Linked DNA regions of Cricetulus griseus. The protein of the gene in region 2 purifies or fractionates together with the protein of the main gene of each other region. This does not show direct contact. Links are inferred from orthologs where the notes say so. Each region holds a gene or a part of one and is shown on either strand. Other genes may lie near its edges.

Region 1 (4,147 bases), on a different chromosome or scaffold from region 2:
CTAATTTTTCCGAGGGAACTCCTCTAAGGAAAAGTTAAGTTCAACACATCTTCCTGAAGGTGTCCAAGCACAGCCTTCGCCACCTTTAGCGTTGATGAACATGGAAGTTCATGTTATAATTAGAAGAACTAATGAGAGCCGGAAGCAAGAAAGGGGATGATGGTACTGATTTTCCAGTTAAATTAACTACAATTGTGGCAAACAGCAGAGGCCTCCTTTAACTACCTCAGCCTTGTCAGAGCCTTCCCAATCGGGTTGATTAGGAAATACACACAGCTTGAGGCTGGTATAAACTCTACAGGTGTCGTTCTGCTCTGCATCTATAAACCAATGGAGAGGTTGGACCCCACCCCATGCCCAGTCTTCACCTCAGATCAAAAGGGGTTGCTGCACAAGATTATTAGCTCCTAACACCTACCAAGAATGAGGGACTCAGGTAGAGCACGTGCACTTTAATCTCCCTGAATACATTAGTGATTTAAGAAAAACAAAACAAAAACAAAACAAAACAAAACAAAAAAAAAAAAACAAGACCTGCCCCACCTTTGCAAACTGGTCAGCATGAACAATTTAAGAGCATTACTGGCTAGGACTACAAAACACTTATACAAGGCTCTGACTGTGTGTTAGCTGTAGTTGAGAGTGATGTTAAGAAACAAAGCTGCCACCTTACCCACAGTTGCAAGTATTGAGGAGGCTTCTGGGCTTGCACACCAGAAAGAAACATGTTTGTCCCTGCAAGGCCACTGTGTCTGTGTACAAGTGACAGACCTACTTATAGGTTAACAGGTCAAACAGATAACCCTTTCATAGTGTCTCCTGCCTCTAAACAGTCCAACCTGCAGGAAAGAGGCCAGAGGTACCCTCTCCTGTAAGTTCTGTTCTTTTTCAAGGCTCAGGGTCTGAAAAGACTAATGTTCTCTTTTACAACGTATTTAAAAATGGTTTTCATTTACATCCAATCTTAAACAACCTCCACCGATGTACTCTGCTCCAACTCAATTCTGCCAAGTCCCCTCTTAGGCAAGGAAAACTGGAGGCTTGCAAACCAACTCCACAAATCGCTCTCCTTTCCTATCAAAAGGCCGAACCAATAACTTGCAGCCTGGAGAGGCATGCTTATGGGTCCAGTTCCACTGAACGGGGCTGGATGAGAGCAAGCAAGATGCCTTTCTGCAAAACCAACTGCTATTTAGGTTGCAAATCACACTGCCTCTTTGGTGGAAACCTGCTATCTACACAAACCAAGAAAGGCCATGTAAAAGCCAGGCACAGGGAACACACACACTTCACTTTTTTTTTTTTTTTTTTTTTTTTTTTGCACAAAGGCAGCTTAAATTTGTCCCGTTTTCGTTTCCAGGATGTGATCCTTGACCCATCACCAAATTTCTTTTCTCCATTGGAAGGTTTTGTCTAATCAGCTGTGTGCAAGCGGCTCTGGCAATTTATCCTCCTTGATTTCTTGACATTTTCTTCCGTGCTGCTGGCTGGGAAACTGTTTTGATCTGAATAGGGTTGTCTGTGGGGGATTCTGCATGTTAATGACGTGGAGTTGGCAAGGATGGGAGGTGAGAGCACAACGCGTACTTTTTCTAGTTACGTTTCGCCTCATCACCGCTACGGGGGCCTTTCCACTCTGCTACACCAGGAGGCTGATCTCAGACTAATCTTACCCTCTTCCAGGGAGCCTCGAGGGGCCAGGTAGAAACAGAACAGATGGCCTATGTTCCCGTCAAGTACCTAGACTCACAGGCAAGTACTCCTAAGCACTCCACCACCAATGAAGGAGACGCACGTACATCCTTGCTCAGCCAGGCAGTCCCAGCGGCCACCCTCCATCCTGGCTTCAGCTCCAACCCCGTCCCAGCCAGTGCCAGACGCTACACCCCCCTCTACTCTGTACCCGCCCACCCTCCCAGTCCAAAAGGACAGGGATTCCGAACGAGGGACTGGTGTAGCCCCAGTGCCCGCCCTTCCCTCTCCATCCTGGCCAGAAAACTCCACTTCCCGGATTCCGAGCCACTCTCTCCCTCCCCCTGCGCCGGCGATCCAGCAAAGCGCCGTCCTCCTGCCAACTGGGTGCCCAGCCCAGCGACACACCCCGCCTCCCCCACCAGCCCCCAAACAGACCCCCCAGCTACGTCCACTCATGAGCACTCGTGGGGGAGGGCGTCCCCGGATTCGGAGCGTTCAGACACCACAGGACCCAGGGAGTCCCACCCCGCCCCCCAAGCCACGCCGCCAGCCTCCAGCTCAGCCTCTGAGGGGCCTCCACCCCGGGCGAAGAGGAGACGTGGGGGGGTGTCTTCGCCAGGCACCTCCAACACCCCAAGGGAGGGAGGGCACGCGCGGACCCCGGGGCCGACTCCCTGTGCCCGCAGGCCCGCAGCCCCTCGCGGGGGCGCGCCCTCGGGGGTCCTCCCGGTCGGCGGGGCGCACTCACGATGGTCACGCTGGCTTTGCGCAGGTCGCGGTTCTCCTCCTGCAGCGCCTTGCACTTGAGTTTGTAGGTCTCCAGCTCGATCTTGAGCACCTTGTTCTCCTGCTGCAGCGAGGCCAGGCGGTTGGTGAGCTCCTCCAGGCGGAACGGCGAGATGACAATGCCCCCCGACTTCCCGCCGCCGCCCCCGCCGCTGCCGCCCGAGGTCGCCGAGCAGGACGACTGCATGGCTGCCGGGCCGCCGCCCGCCGCGTCGGTATCACTCTCGCTCGCGCTGTCCGCCATGGCGGGGCGAGCCGGGGCGCGGAGGAGCCGGGGAGCCGGGCGCGGAGGACCGGGCGCGCGGCGAGTGGGCGGGGCCGGGCGCGCGGCGGGGAGCAGGGAGCTGAGAGCGCGGCGCGGGCGGCAGGCGCAGACGCGCGCGGCGGCGGGGAGAAAGAGAGGGCGCTTCCCGCGGCCGCGCGAGCTGCACCGCCAGGGAACAGAGACCCCGCCCGGACTCGGGCAGTACTGCAGCGCCGAGGCCTGGCGCGCTCCGCGGGGGACGTCCCCGCAGCCCCAGCCCCACCCCAGCCCGGCGCGCGGCGGCGGCGGCGGCGGCGGCGGTGATCAGCTTGCACACACACGCTCACACGCTCGGGTCCGCGCCGCCTTCCCGCGCACGTGCTCCCGCCCCGGGCCCCTGCGTCCCAGGCCCCAGCCCACGGCCGCGCCGCCTCTTCCGGAGAAAGGCGGACTCCATGGCCGCGCCAGCCCTGCAGGTGCCGGGACACGTGGGAGGGGCAGCCGGGCTCCTCGGTCCACCCCACCCTCCCAGCCCCGCCGAGCTGTAGCCTGGCACCTTCGTTCGGCGCCGGCGCGCGTGGACCTCTCTGGCTGCTTCTTGCGGAGGATCGCTTGGAGCTAGGAACAGAAAGTTCCCCTGCAGTGACCCCCCCCGGGGGGGGAGGGAGGGAGGGCACGACACGACGGCAGCCACAGGTTAGCCTTGCTTGGGAAAGAATCTTGCAGAGAAAACAAGCCCCCTTCGTCCAGTTGTTTAAACCAAGCGCAGCCCCCTCCACCCTTTGCATCTTGCAAACTCTGTCTGCACGGGACACAAAATAGGATTACGACTGGAAGATTGGTCTAGTCAAGAAACCGGATTTTGTTTTTCTGGTTTGTTTTTTGTTTTTTGTTTTTTGTTTTTTTTCAGAGGGGTTGAAACACACTTCAAGTGCCAATTTTCCAAAGCAACTGCAGGCACAATGCTAAACAAATAGCCACGATTAAGTGAGGGAACTGTATAACCATTATTACCACTCACCGACTCCTACAAAACTCCAGGAGGTAAAAATAAAACCGTAATTACTACCATAGAGAGCCAGCCTCAAACAATCAGAAGCTCAAATACTGTTAGGCCCGTCCCTCCTAGAAGGGCTTGCAGGAAACTCGCCTGGCAGGTGAAAGGGGTCTAAACACTTCACCACCCCGCTGATACAAAACAGCTTTCACTTATGGGTAAAAATTGGAAAGTGAAACTGACCAGACGGGTTTTATTATCCAAGTTTAGTCAACGGAAGAACAAACTCATGGAAACAAAAAAAAACGCAAAAAGGGGGCGGGGTGGGGTGGGTAAAAAGTGTTTCCTAGCTGTCAACTGCTCCTAGGAGTTTTATAAAGCATTTAGTATGACTTAAGAAACCGCTTTCCTGGTTGCTAATCCCA
Region 2 (3,565 bases):
ATCCAAAGATGTATTTTTTGACATAACATTTTCTCAGCATTTTTCACATCTAGTAACTTAAAACATTACACTTAACTGTGATTCTGGTGACTGCTAATAATTTTGTGAGCTCAACCCCTTTTTAAAATTTTATTTATTTTTATATGTGTGGTAGTTTTGCCTGCATTTATGTTCCAGTGAGACCAGGTATTGGATCCCCTGGGATTAGAGTTGCAGAAACTGTGATCTGCTATGTTAATATGGGTCCTGGGATCAAACCTGAGTCCTCTGGAAGAACAGCCAGTGCTCTTAACTGCCGAGGCATCTTTCTGGTTTCCTCAAAACTCTTTGTAAAATGAATATTGTTCCATGACTTTCAGTCTTTTATATTTGCTGTGATTAAGGGAAAACTACATTCTAGTAAAAGTGTTTGGTATAGTTAACCCCAAAATTCTTAACCAAAATAATAAAGTTTGACTAAATTTATAGGTTGCATATAAAGTTGTAGTAATGGAGCAGAGTCATATTTAAAATACTTTTGTATTAGGCTAATTTGTCATATTCTGTCCAGTAACAAAATGGTTTCTGATGTTCAGTAAAATTTTTGAGTGCAAAAGCCATGCTTGAGGAAACATTGTTTATAATTAATGTGACAGTTATTATTTGTGTTACCTCTGTTGTGAAGTTCAAATTGAGGGATCAGAATTTAGAATATTGCATCAATTTTTTTCCAGAATGAGTTTTGACACATTGTTTTCAGTGTTCTTTTATATTGATGTGAGTGACTCTTGCATTCATTCTCGGGACTCCACAAAGCTGTCACTGTGGAGTCACTTACACTTACACTGTAGTTTCTTATACTTATGACCTCAAACTACACAATTATTCTTTTGCAGTATCCCTTTTACTATTCAACGACTGTGTGAATTGCTAACAGATCCAAGAAGAAATTATACAGGAACAGACAAATTTCTCAGAGGAGTAGAAAAGGTATGTATTCTATTACAAGAATTAAAGTGAAACCTAATAGGTCCCAGAAAAGATAATGACGAGTTGTTTCATGACTATTTACTGATAAGCAAAGGGAGAAATAAGGCCCAAAAGGTCCCAGGCAACCATTATTTTGAGGAAAGCTGCTGTTCAATTATATTTTTAAGTGTTTAATTAATTTATTATTTGCTTTTGGTTTTCTGAGACAGGGTTTCTCTGTGTATAACCCCGACTGGCCTGGAACTTGCTCTGTAGACCAGGGTGGCCTCAAACCTAGAGTTCTGCCTCTGCCTCCAGATGTTGGAATTAAAGGCATCTGCCACCACTACCTGCCTTGTTTTTTATTTTACAAATGTTTTCTTTCTTTGTTAAGCATTTTTTTTTAAAGCCCATCAGAAAGATATGAGTGTTAGCAGTATATTGTAAATGTCATTGGAATTCTGGAATTCAGAGACACCGCAACCTTGGAAACTTGAATTTTAGTGACATTGAGAAGAAAGATCCAGTTCACATTATGGGTGGCAGGGTACTGCTGCTAAAGAAAGAACATTCTGGAGAATGAAAGTAACAGTACACAAAGGTGTCATAGTGTTTAAGAGATCACAACATTAAATCAGTGCTGGAAGGAGTAATTGGATCAACTAAATTTGAACAGATGCCTAATTCTTATGTGGTAGTTGGTCCTAAAGGCATAGTTGACATTAGAAGTTTTTGTTTTGAAATCAGTTCTTTTACTCTGGGACCAGGAGTCTTAAGACCATTAACTTTGGGATTTTCAGTAGTTCTTGGGTTGATTCTTTATGTTGTCTATTTGATGAGATTCTGAAGGGCAGGGCGCTGCAGGGTTCATCAGTACTTCGGCTCAAGGTCCTTTAGTAATTGTGTTTTGGAATTTTTTGATGAATAGGCAGGATATCACCGCCTGTGTTTGCCAGCTCAGTACTGTGAATTTTACAGTGTGTGAGCCAGGGATTTTTAAAAAAAAGAAGTGCTTTCTCTGGAATTGGGGTGATAGGGCTGTAAGGGAACCTTAAAAGTGCTCTTCTGCTAACGTTTCCATAGGAGGGAGCTTTGTCTCCTTGGGTTGAGTATTGCTTTATAGATAAGGAAGGAAGTTCATTACACTTGGATTAAATATCTGAATTCAAAATAGTTTTAGAAGAGAGACTGGGATTTGGCTCACACAAGCCATCACATTTGTTGGGGAATGCCACACCAGTTCGAGGACCAGAGTTGGGATCCCTAGAACCAACATAAGTGCTGGTGGATGTGCTGACTTGCGTGTAATGAATTCCAGCTTTGAAAGGTAGTGACAGAATCCACAGAACAAACTGGCTGTCGAGCTCTGGGTTTAATTGAGAGATCTTGTCTTGTTGAATGAGGGGGAAGAATGTTCAGGTCCTCCATGTGTAAGTGCATGCATAGGAAAATGGAAAATAAATTGGACTATAGTTCTAGATACACTATACATTGTCTGAATTGTAAAAAAAAAAAAAGGCACTAGGAAAAAGAAATTAAAAAACCAATATTCTCACCTGCATTATTGCTTAGTGAGTTTTCAGGAGTCATATGCTATTTATCTGTTTTAAATTATTGGAATTGTTCTTTCTATAAGAAAAGAAAATACTTCAACCACCTCTGGTAGTGTACAAGCCTTTAATCCCAGTATTTGGAAGTCAGAGGCAAGTCCATCTCTTGAATTGGCCAGTGTGGTCTATATAGTGAGTTCCAGGCCAACCAGGGCTTTATTGCCCAGGCCAATCCTGATACCTGTGTGGTGGAGAGTATACAATATAAATGATTAAGCAAGGCATAGTTTTTTGTGGGGGGGGGGGTTGTTTTGTTTTTGACCAGTTGCTTTCAGTTGGAGTAAAAGGGTAATTCTGAGTTTCAAAGGAGTTGTTAACATTGTGTTACTGTGCTTTTCTTTCACTCATTGAGTCACCAATTTTTGTTATTTCAGAATGTGATGGTTGTTAGCTGTGTTTGTCCTTCTTCAGAGTAAGTATATTTTTTCTGCTTTTGATATTAATTACTATATTCTAATTATTTTAATATGTTGTTAAAGTATTGTACGTTTATTTTGTGTGTAACTAAACATTGTGACTAACCGTTGTAAAAATCTACCACCTGGTCCTTGAGGTGTGGAATGTTGCCAGAATGCTGTAAAAGTATTTCCAGCAGAGTGATATGATTGAGACTGGTTAATTACTATACTTTTGGCCACCTAGATGTTTTTCTAGGGGTGGCAGGTAGGTTTGGAATAAGATATTTCATGGACAAGTATTACTAGTTGTCAGGATTTCTATACCAAATTTAGGACTTGGTTCCAGGCATCTGTTCAGCCATGGCACCATTAGTATTTAGGCCACATGTATAATTCTTTGTTGTGGGTGGGTGTCCTGGAGCATGTAAGTACACACATGAGCACACATGTGAGAGAAGGAGAGGAGACTGAGTACCCTGGGACATGTGAAGAGTGGGGAAAAGAGGCTGCTACTTCATAGATCCACTAGCTTAATCTTAAGTGCCATTTATTTCTTAGACAGTTTTGTTTTTAGAGTTCTTGACTTCATCTGTCTTGCTAAATTAGATA
Region 3 (3,565 bases), on a different chromosome or scaffold from region 2:
CATAACCCCTTGGCCTACTCGTCTGAGGACTACGTGAGGCGGCGGGAGCAACACCTGCACAAACAGAAGCAGAAGCGCATTTCAGCCCAGCGTAGACAGATCAATGAGGTGAGGCTGCAGCAGTGGCTGGTGCCAGCTTAGAGCAGAGGTGGGATGGATGGGAGGAGTCTTCAATTTGCCAAGTGATGATGTAACACAGCCGGCTGTTTATAGACAGAGCCAGGTCAGATAGGCCTCTGTGGAACAGGAACAAGAGCAGGAAGCTTTCGGTAGCTTAGAACACCCGGCTCCTCCTCCTCTCTCCTGCAGTACTCTGTGAGGGCCCCGTGGGGAGAATGGTATGGTGATGACTGCCTCTGGGTGTATTTGTGTGTGTGTTAGGGCTGGTGCCCAGCTGCTTCTTGGGACAAAGTACTGCAAGTGCCTCAGCTTTAGTAGTGACTTCTGAATAAGGAGCTGCAGGGTGTAGAGTCCCACTAAGAGTCTGTCACGTGTGGACTGGCCTGCTAACCTTTCAAGATCACCTCTTAGTCGCAGGCTAAATGTGACTCTCCTTGTATCCCCACAGGACAATGAGCGCTGGGAGACTAACCGAATGCTCACCAGTGGGGTGGTCCATCGGCTGGAGGTGGACGAGGACTTTGAGGAGGACAATGCAGCCAAGGTGCATCTGATGGTGCACAACCTGGTGCCTCCTTTTCTGGATGGACGCATCGTCTTCACCAAGCAGGTAGGGCTTCTGTGCCAGAGACTTGGACGTTAGAAAGCATTGAGGGGGAGAGAGGGTTGGAAGAAGGGGTTGGTACAGTCACGTGTCCATTTGAGGGGTCGGGACTCCTTTACTGGGGCCCATCCATGTACAGCAGGGCCTCTGGTTGACTTCAGTGACCAGTGGGAAATTTTTTTTTTCCTTCCCTACTTCCTGCAGCCAGAGCCTGTAATCCCAGTGAAGGATGCCACCTCGGACCTGGCCATTATTGCTCGGAAAGGCAGCCAGACAGTTCGCAAGCACAGGGAACAAAAGGAGCGGAGAAAGGTTGGTATCTTGCCACCCGGGCTGAGGTCCTTGTGTTTCTTTTCTTACTCCTGTTAAAAATCTCAATATGGCATATAGACTCCCACTGGCAGTCAGAGGGTGTACTTGCATGGATCAAGAAGCAGCCCAAGGAGAGTACTGCGTTCTACTCAGTCCTTAGTTAAGGCAACTATAAGGCCTGGTGCCGGGTGTTGGAGGCTTGAGATGTGTGGCTTGGTGCTACCGTTGCCTTGTGGGAGTTTACTGCCTGCCAGATGAAGCCTGCTCTCCACCAGAATTGTTTCCCCTGCCTATAGTCTTGTCAGCGGATGAATCAATTTCACTCGTGTTGTCTTCTTCAGGCTCAGCACAAACACTGGGAACTGGCAGGGACCAAACTAGGAGACATAATGGGTGTCAAAAAAGAGGAAGAGCCAGATAAATCTGTGACAGAAGATGGGAAAGTGGACTACAGGTGGGTAGTGTTGACAAGTCTTCTGATCCCTTCCTTCAAGTCTCTTGTCTACTGACTTTAGATTTCCTTGGGCTTCTTTCCATTGTCACCCCTGTTGCTACAGTGATGGCTGTGTAGACTGAGACTCAGGGAGGTTAAGGAATTTGCTTGAGGGCACCCAGCTAGGAAATGGTGATTTAGTTTAGCACCAGACAGTCCTGTGGGGAGCCCCTGCTCTTTGAGCTCTTCCATGTGGGAAGACAGGATTTCTTTCCTTGGTTGGATTTCAGTACCTTATAGTAAGGAGGAACTGGTTTTCACAGGGCTTTTTCAATACAAGGGACTCTGTTTTGGTAGTAACGTCTCTGTTCATAGAGGTTTTATGCAGCTGTTGAGTCACTGCTTTGTGGAGTCCCTGCATTGGGTAGGCACTAGACTCAAATGTCCCTTCTACTTCTCCTAGTGGTTCTTTGTACCTCTGTGTGAAGTGTCCCAAATAAGAAGTTGGTATTACTGGTCAGGCCTTGCTGGTCTCTGGGTCATTTCGTCCCTTCCGTTTCAGTTGGTAGGTGACCAGGAGGACTGAGTGAAATTAGAAATAGAAACTTGAAGGAGCTTGGGCAGATCTGGGGGAGGAAAGGGCTCTTGGGGAAGGTGGGTAGAAGGGTCTTGGGACATGACCATGTATCAGACACTGATTGCTTATACAGAAATAAGGCAAACGTAAGTGAGCTGTTCTTTGAAAATGAGACCTTTACACTGTGCAGCCCTATCAAGGGGAGAGAGGAATTCTGATCTATGTCCTGTATAGCTAGCACCTGGAAGACCTCTGTGGCTTCGTAAAGTGTGGTGCTGAAATTGCCTAAATTTCTGTCTAAATTAGTGACCTGCTGGCTAATTTCAGTTCCTCTTCTGGCCACCTTTTGTTTAGGACAGGCAATCTGCCCACTGGAGAGTCTGCTCTCTGATCCCTGTCAGCTGTTTGATCAGGGCTCTGGACTGTGTGTGATGGATGGATGATGGAGTGGTCTGCTAGCACCGTAGGCCCACTGAGATGCAGTCTTGGATGGCCAGGCTGCTTTGGTGTCTATGAGGTTGATTGCTTCTTGTCACAGTTGTTCACATTCTTAGGAGCAAGAGGAGGGCAGCTAACTTACTCCTGAGGGACAGTGTGGGGAGGTCATCCATGCTGTCGTGTTTCCCAGGACAGAGCAGAAGTTTGCGGATCACATGAAGGAGAAGAGTGAGGCCAGCAGTGAGTTTGCAAAGAAGAAGTCGATCCTGGAGCAGAGGCAGTACCTGCCCATCTTTGCAGTACAGCAGGAGCTTCTCACCATCATCAGGTAACGTCCCCAGACCCTGTGTTCCAGTGTGGGACATCTAATGGGGAAGGAAAATATTATTTTTCCCTAGTGGATTGGCTTAGGCTATGCTGCATGAAGTAAGATGACATTACTTCCTTTAGTGCTTCAGGTTTACCTTGGCTGAGTCCCAGACTTTTCGTGTGGTGGCTTCTTAAAGAGGCTGGTTTTGCATGCTTCTCTAGTCAAGCATGCTTCTTGGAGAGCTAGGCTTTACTAGAGGCAGCAAGGCTTCTTAAGGCTTCTAGGGGGCGTTTTCTAAGATTGCTTTTCCATTCAGGCTGCTCAGTGCATTGCTCCTCTTCCTTGTAGAGACAACAGCATTGTGATCGTGGTTGGGGAGACAGGGAGCGGCAAGACCACTCAGCTGACCCAGTACTTGCATGAAGATGGTTATACAGACTATGGGATGATTGGGTGCACCCAGCCCCGGCGTGTGGCTGCCATGTCAGTGGCCAAGAGAGTCAGTGAAGAGATGGGGGGAAACCTTGGTGAAGAGGTGAGTGGCCATGAGGTCTGAGCTTTTTCCTGACAGCTTCTGCCATTTTGCTGGAGGCTGTGGTCTGCTTAAGCTGGACTCCATCTGTGGGGTTTAACAATGGGTAATGGTCACTTTCTGAGCTGTGTCTCTGACCCCCAGGTGGGTTATGCCATTCGCTTTGAAGACTGCACTTCTGAAAACACCTTAATCAAATACATGACTGATGGGATCCTGCTCCGTGAGTCCCTCAGGGA
Region 4 (3,565 bases), on a different chromosome or scaffold from region 2:
GTAAGAAAGGTTTTCTGCTAGTGAATGGCAGTGTATGCCTTTAATAAGATGTTTTATGTTGTGTGTGTATTAGTAGGGTATTTTATATTACATATCTGATGTGTAATTTGGTGTGCATATGAATACTGCTAATATATACTCTAAACTCATCCTTTTTTGTTTTGGTATTTGAGGACGGAGGGTGAACACTCCAAAGAAGTTCTTAAACCATATGATTGGACCTATACAACAGATTATAAAGGAACGTTACTTGGAGAATCTCTTAAGTTAAAGGTAAATTTGAACTTTTTGCTTTTATGAATCATTAGTTTTTTATAATCTCAGCACTAGATCTTTTAGTTATGTTATTATTTTTTCCCACTGCTTTTATCCTGCTTAGTTTGATTGTGGCAGGCTTTAGAACCTAATATGAAGGGATTTAGTTTTATTAATGTATCTATTAGTGGAAAATAAAAGAAAGATATAGCCAGTTCCCCTTTTGTTTGCTTGAGATGGAGTCTCAGGAGTCTGGCATTGAACTTTTAGGCTCAGGTACTCCTGCCTTGGCCTCCTGAGTATCTGGAAGTATAGGTATGTACCTGTACTTGCCTAGGAACGATGTTCTTTAAAACCTTACTTTGCCTTGGTGTTAGCAGTGTCATAGGCAAGCATCTGTCCTTGGTAATGCATTATTAGGTGATATAGATAGAAATGGCTAGCTAGTAGCTTAGAGTTTTACACATGAACAACAGAACTGTTGAACAGAAAATTTATATCCTGCTTGCACTGAGTATGAATCTGGTATTTTAGTTAAGTTACTTTTTCCTTTCCTTCTGGATGACCTGGAGCCTTTCCATGTAGTCCAGTTTTGCCTTGAACTCAAGAGATCGATTGCCTGCCTCTGCCACCCCGGTACTGGGATCAAAGTTGTGCACTACCACACCTGGCCCTTTAGGTGACTTATTTAATCCAGACACCTTGTTACTAGTAAATTGAGAAAATGGAAATGCTTGCCCGTGGAAGAATTTTTATATGAATAGTTCACAAGCGGGTTCTAATTACATTTTAGCATGTTGTGTTAGTGTTGATTGATCTGCATCTGTGTAGTCAGGACACAGAACATGGAATTGGAAGGTCTCTATTAACTACATTTTAAGCTCTGATAGTGAGACTGAAGTGAAACAAGTGAGGCTTAGGTTGTATGTCTGTCAGGCGTAAGGACAAAGTTGTTCTAGTGTAAACTATCTTCCTTACCCTTTAGGGCTGGTGAGATGGCTCAGTGGATAGTCACTTGCTGCCAAGCTTGATGACTGTGCCTGATCCCTGGGACTCATATGGTGGCAAGAGAGAACCAGCTCCTACAAGTTGTCCTCTGACTGCCACACATGCTCATAACACACACACTAAATGTTATTGGAGGCTATATCATAAGTTGATGGTTAGCTGGACATGTGAGGGTATGTGTGAAATCCTTGTCTCCTTGCCTATGTAAATTTTTTTTTAGTTTAGTTTCAGGAGATAGAAATTAAATCTTTGGTGGTGGTGGTGGGGTTCTTTTTTCTTTTTCTTTGTTTTTCAAGGTGAGTTCATCTACTTAGCCCTGGCCATCCTGGAACTCTCTGTAGACCAGGCTGGCCTCAAATTGATAGAGATCTGACTGGGTTTTCATCTCAAGTGCTAAGATTAAAAGGTGTGTGCCACCACACCGGCTGAAACTAATTCTTAGTTTCTCCTCCAAACTTTTCTATGTGTGCTTCCAGTACACAAACAAAACTTTTGAGAAAATAGACATTTGCTCATTTATTCATTTCATCAGACATATCTTAAACTTCTTCTGTGTGCCATTGCATAGTCCAGTGAGAGTATGGTGATTTTCTTATTCTCTTGACAACTTTACAGACTGTAGTCTGTCATCACTTCTGATTGAAGTTTGCAGAGAGCTGAGGTCATTTGATATTTTGTTGCCAGGAATGAAGAAATTGAAGTTTTATGATACCTCATGCAATAGTGATGATGGTTGTTTAATGGATTCACTTAGGAAAAGCTGCATTAGCTGTAAGTATAGCATTTGGAGCAAGAACCAAGGCAATAGAGATGGAGACTGATAGGAGAAGATAAAACTATGCGCTTGGTATTCTTCCAATATTTTCACCTATAATATAATTTCTTCTAAAGTGTTGCTGATAAATGTCAGTGTGATCTCCCATTCTGGTAGTGATAGTGGTGTACTTAGGCTTTGTCAGAATATGGGCTTTGCTTCAAATCAGCTTGACAAAGCAATTTGCTCTCTCTCTCTCTCTCTCTCTCTCTCTCTCTCTCTCTCTCTCTCGTGTGTGTGTGTGTGTGTGTGGGTGAGTGTGTGTGTGTGTGTGTGTGTGTGTGTGTGTGTGTTGGGAGTTTACATATGCCACAGTGTGTGTAGGTTAGGACATCCTTGGGTGTGGGTTCTTGTCTTCCATCTTACTTGAACATGGTTTCTGTTTTTTGCTGATGTGTGTACTAGGCTCTATTTCCCGCAAGCTTCTGGGGATTCTCCTGTCTTCACCCTAGGAGCACCAGTATTACAGACATGAACTATTATATCTGGCTTTATGTAGATTTTGGGGATTCAAAGTCAGGCTTTGCCCATTGAGTCATCTCCTCACAGTTTGATCTTTTGCAAAGCCTTATTTTGATAAATGGACAATACCAATTGTGAGGCAGATCCCACATGTAAAATATTTAATGCAGTGTCTGTTACATAGTGAAGACCTCAATAGATGGTCTCAAATAGTAGGTGACTGTTGGAATACTAGGCATGACTAGGCTTTATGTCTGAAGTTGATGAATGTGGTTTTTTGGTGTTTTAATGGAGTGACTGAGGCTGTGGAGATGGCTCAACAGTGAAGAGCACTTACTACTCTGCAGAGGACCAGGTTCAGTTCCCAGCACCCATATGGTGGCTCACAACCATCTGTAACTCTAGTTCAAAAGATCTGATATCCTCTTCTGACACCAGTGGGCACCAGGAATGCACATGGTGTTCATGCATACATGCATGCCAAACACTCATACATATAAGGTAAATACATCTTTGGGGGAAAAAAAAAAACAGACTTTTTAAGTTAAAGGTTTTCAGATAAATTATTATAATTTTGGTCTTTAGTGCTCAAAATAACCTTGTAGGTAGGTCCAGTATCCTCATTTTGTAGATGAAGTATTGGGTTCACAAATTTAAACTATGATTTTGGATAACACACTGCCCGTAACTTACTGTTTTGCACATTTGGTATATGTGAAGTTCCTAAAGAATCAATTAAAATATGTTTTAAAAAATTGGGGTAATTGACTATTAACATAGTGTCATCGTGTGTGGTCTACCTAACAACATTAATGCTTTAAGAAAACAAACAAAAAACAATTTGTAAGTATATATAGTTGAGAAGGGTTAACTATGTTAGCATTGTTGTGTAACCAGTCTCCCCATTGCTGACCTTGTGTTCAGGAACCTCCACACCTAGCTTTTTATGTGGTTTTCTGGGGTTTGAACACAGGTTGTCATGCTTTTGCTTCAGGCACTATATTTCCCAGCACCTAAGGTAGGTGC

The links.
Region 1: the proteins of Ppp4r2 (region 2) and Ccdc6 purify together in Homo sapiens (co-immunoprecipitation; 3 studies listed by BioGRID and IntAct, counting the BioPlex papers as one, with this or other methods). This does not show direct contact. The link is inferred for Cricetulus griseus from reciprocal best matches to the Homo sapiens genes PPP4R2 and CCDC6.
Region 3: the proteins of Ppp4r2 (region 2) and Dhx38 purify together in Homo sapiens (affinity purification with mass spectrometry; 3 studies listed by BioGRID and IntAct, counting the BioPlex papers as one, with this or other methods). This does not show direct contact. The link is inferred for Cricetulus griseus from reciprocal best matches to the Homo sapiens genes PPP4R2 and DHX38.
Region 4: the proteins of Ppp4r2 (region 2) and Tiprl purify together in Homo sapiens (affinity purification with mass spectrometry; 5 studies listed by BioGRID and IntAct, counting the BioPlex papers as one, with this or other methods). This does not show direct contact. The link is inferred for Cricetulus griseus from reciprocal best matches to the Homo sapiens genes PPP4R2 and TIPRL.

Annotation. Positions count from the first base shown.
Region 1 is NW_023276806.1:267,588,045-267,592,191, forward strand, and holds the start of Ccdc6 (coiled-coil domain-containing protein 6), read right to left. Parts: upstream 2,835-4,147; 5' UTR 2,726-2,834; coding exon 2,444-2,725; intron 1-2,443.
Region 2 is NC_048601.1:43,113,260-43,116,824, reverse strand, and holds part of Ppp4r2 (serine/threonine-protein phosphatase 4 regulatory subunit 2), read left to right. Parts: intron 1-875; coding exon 876-969; intron 970-2,932; coding exon 2,933-2,970; intron 2,971-3,565. UniProt on the Homo sapiens protein: Regulatory subunit of serine/threonine-protein phosphatase 4 (PP4). May regulate the activity of PPP4C at centrosomal microtubule organizing centers.
Region 3 is NC_048596.1:185,926,313-185,929,877, reverse strand, and holds part of Dhx38 (pre-mRNA-splicing factor ATP-dependent RNA helicase PRP16), read left to right. Parts: coding exon 1-108; intron 109-568; coding exon 569-730; intron 731-928; coding exon 929-1,036; intron 1,037-1,377; coding exon 1,378-1,490; intron 1,491-2,674; coding exon 2,675-2,812; intron 2,813-3,142; coding exon 3,143-3,329; intron 3,330-3,470; coding exon 3,471-3,565. UniProt on the Homo sapiens protein: Probable ATP-binding RNA helicase. Involved in pre-mRNA splicing as component of the spliceosome.
Region 4 is NC_048598.1:27,172,524-27,176,088, forward strand, and holds part of Tiprl (TIP41-like protein), read left to right. Parts: intron 1-173; coding exon 174-273; intron 274-3,565. UniProt on the Homo sapiens protein: May be a allosteric regulator of serine/threonine-protein phosphatase 2A (PP2A). Isoform 1 inhibits catalytic activity of the PP2A(D) core complex in vitro. The PP2A(C):TIPRL complex does not show phosphatase activity.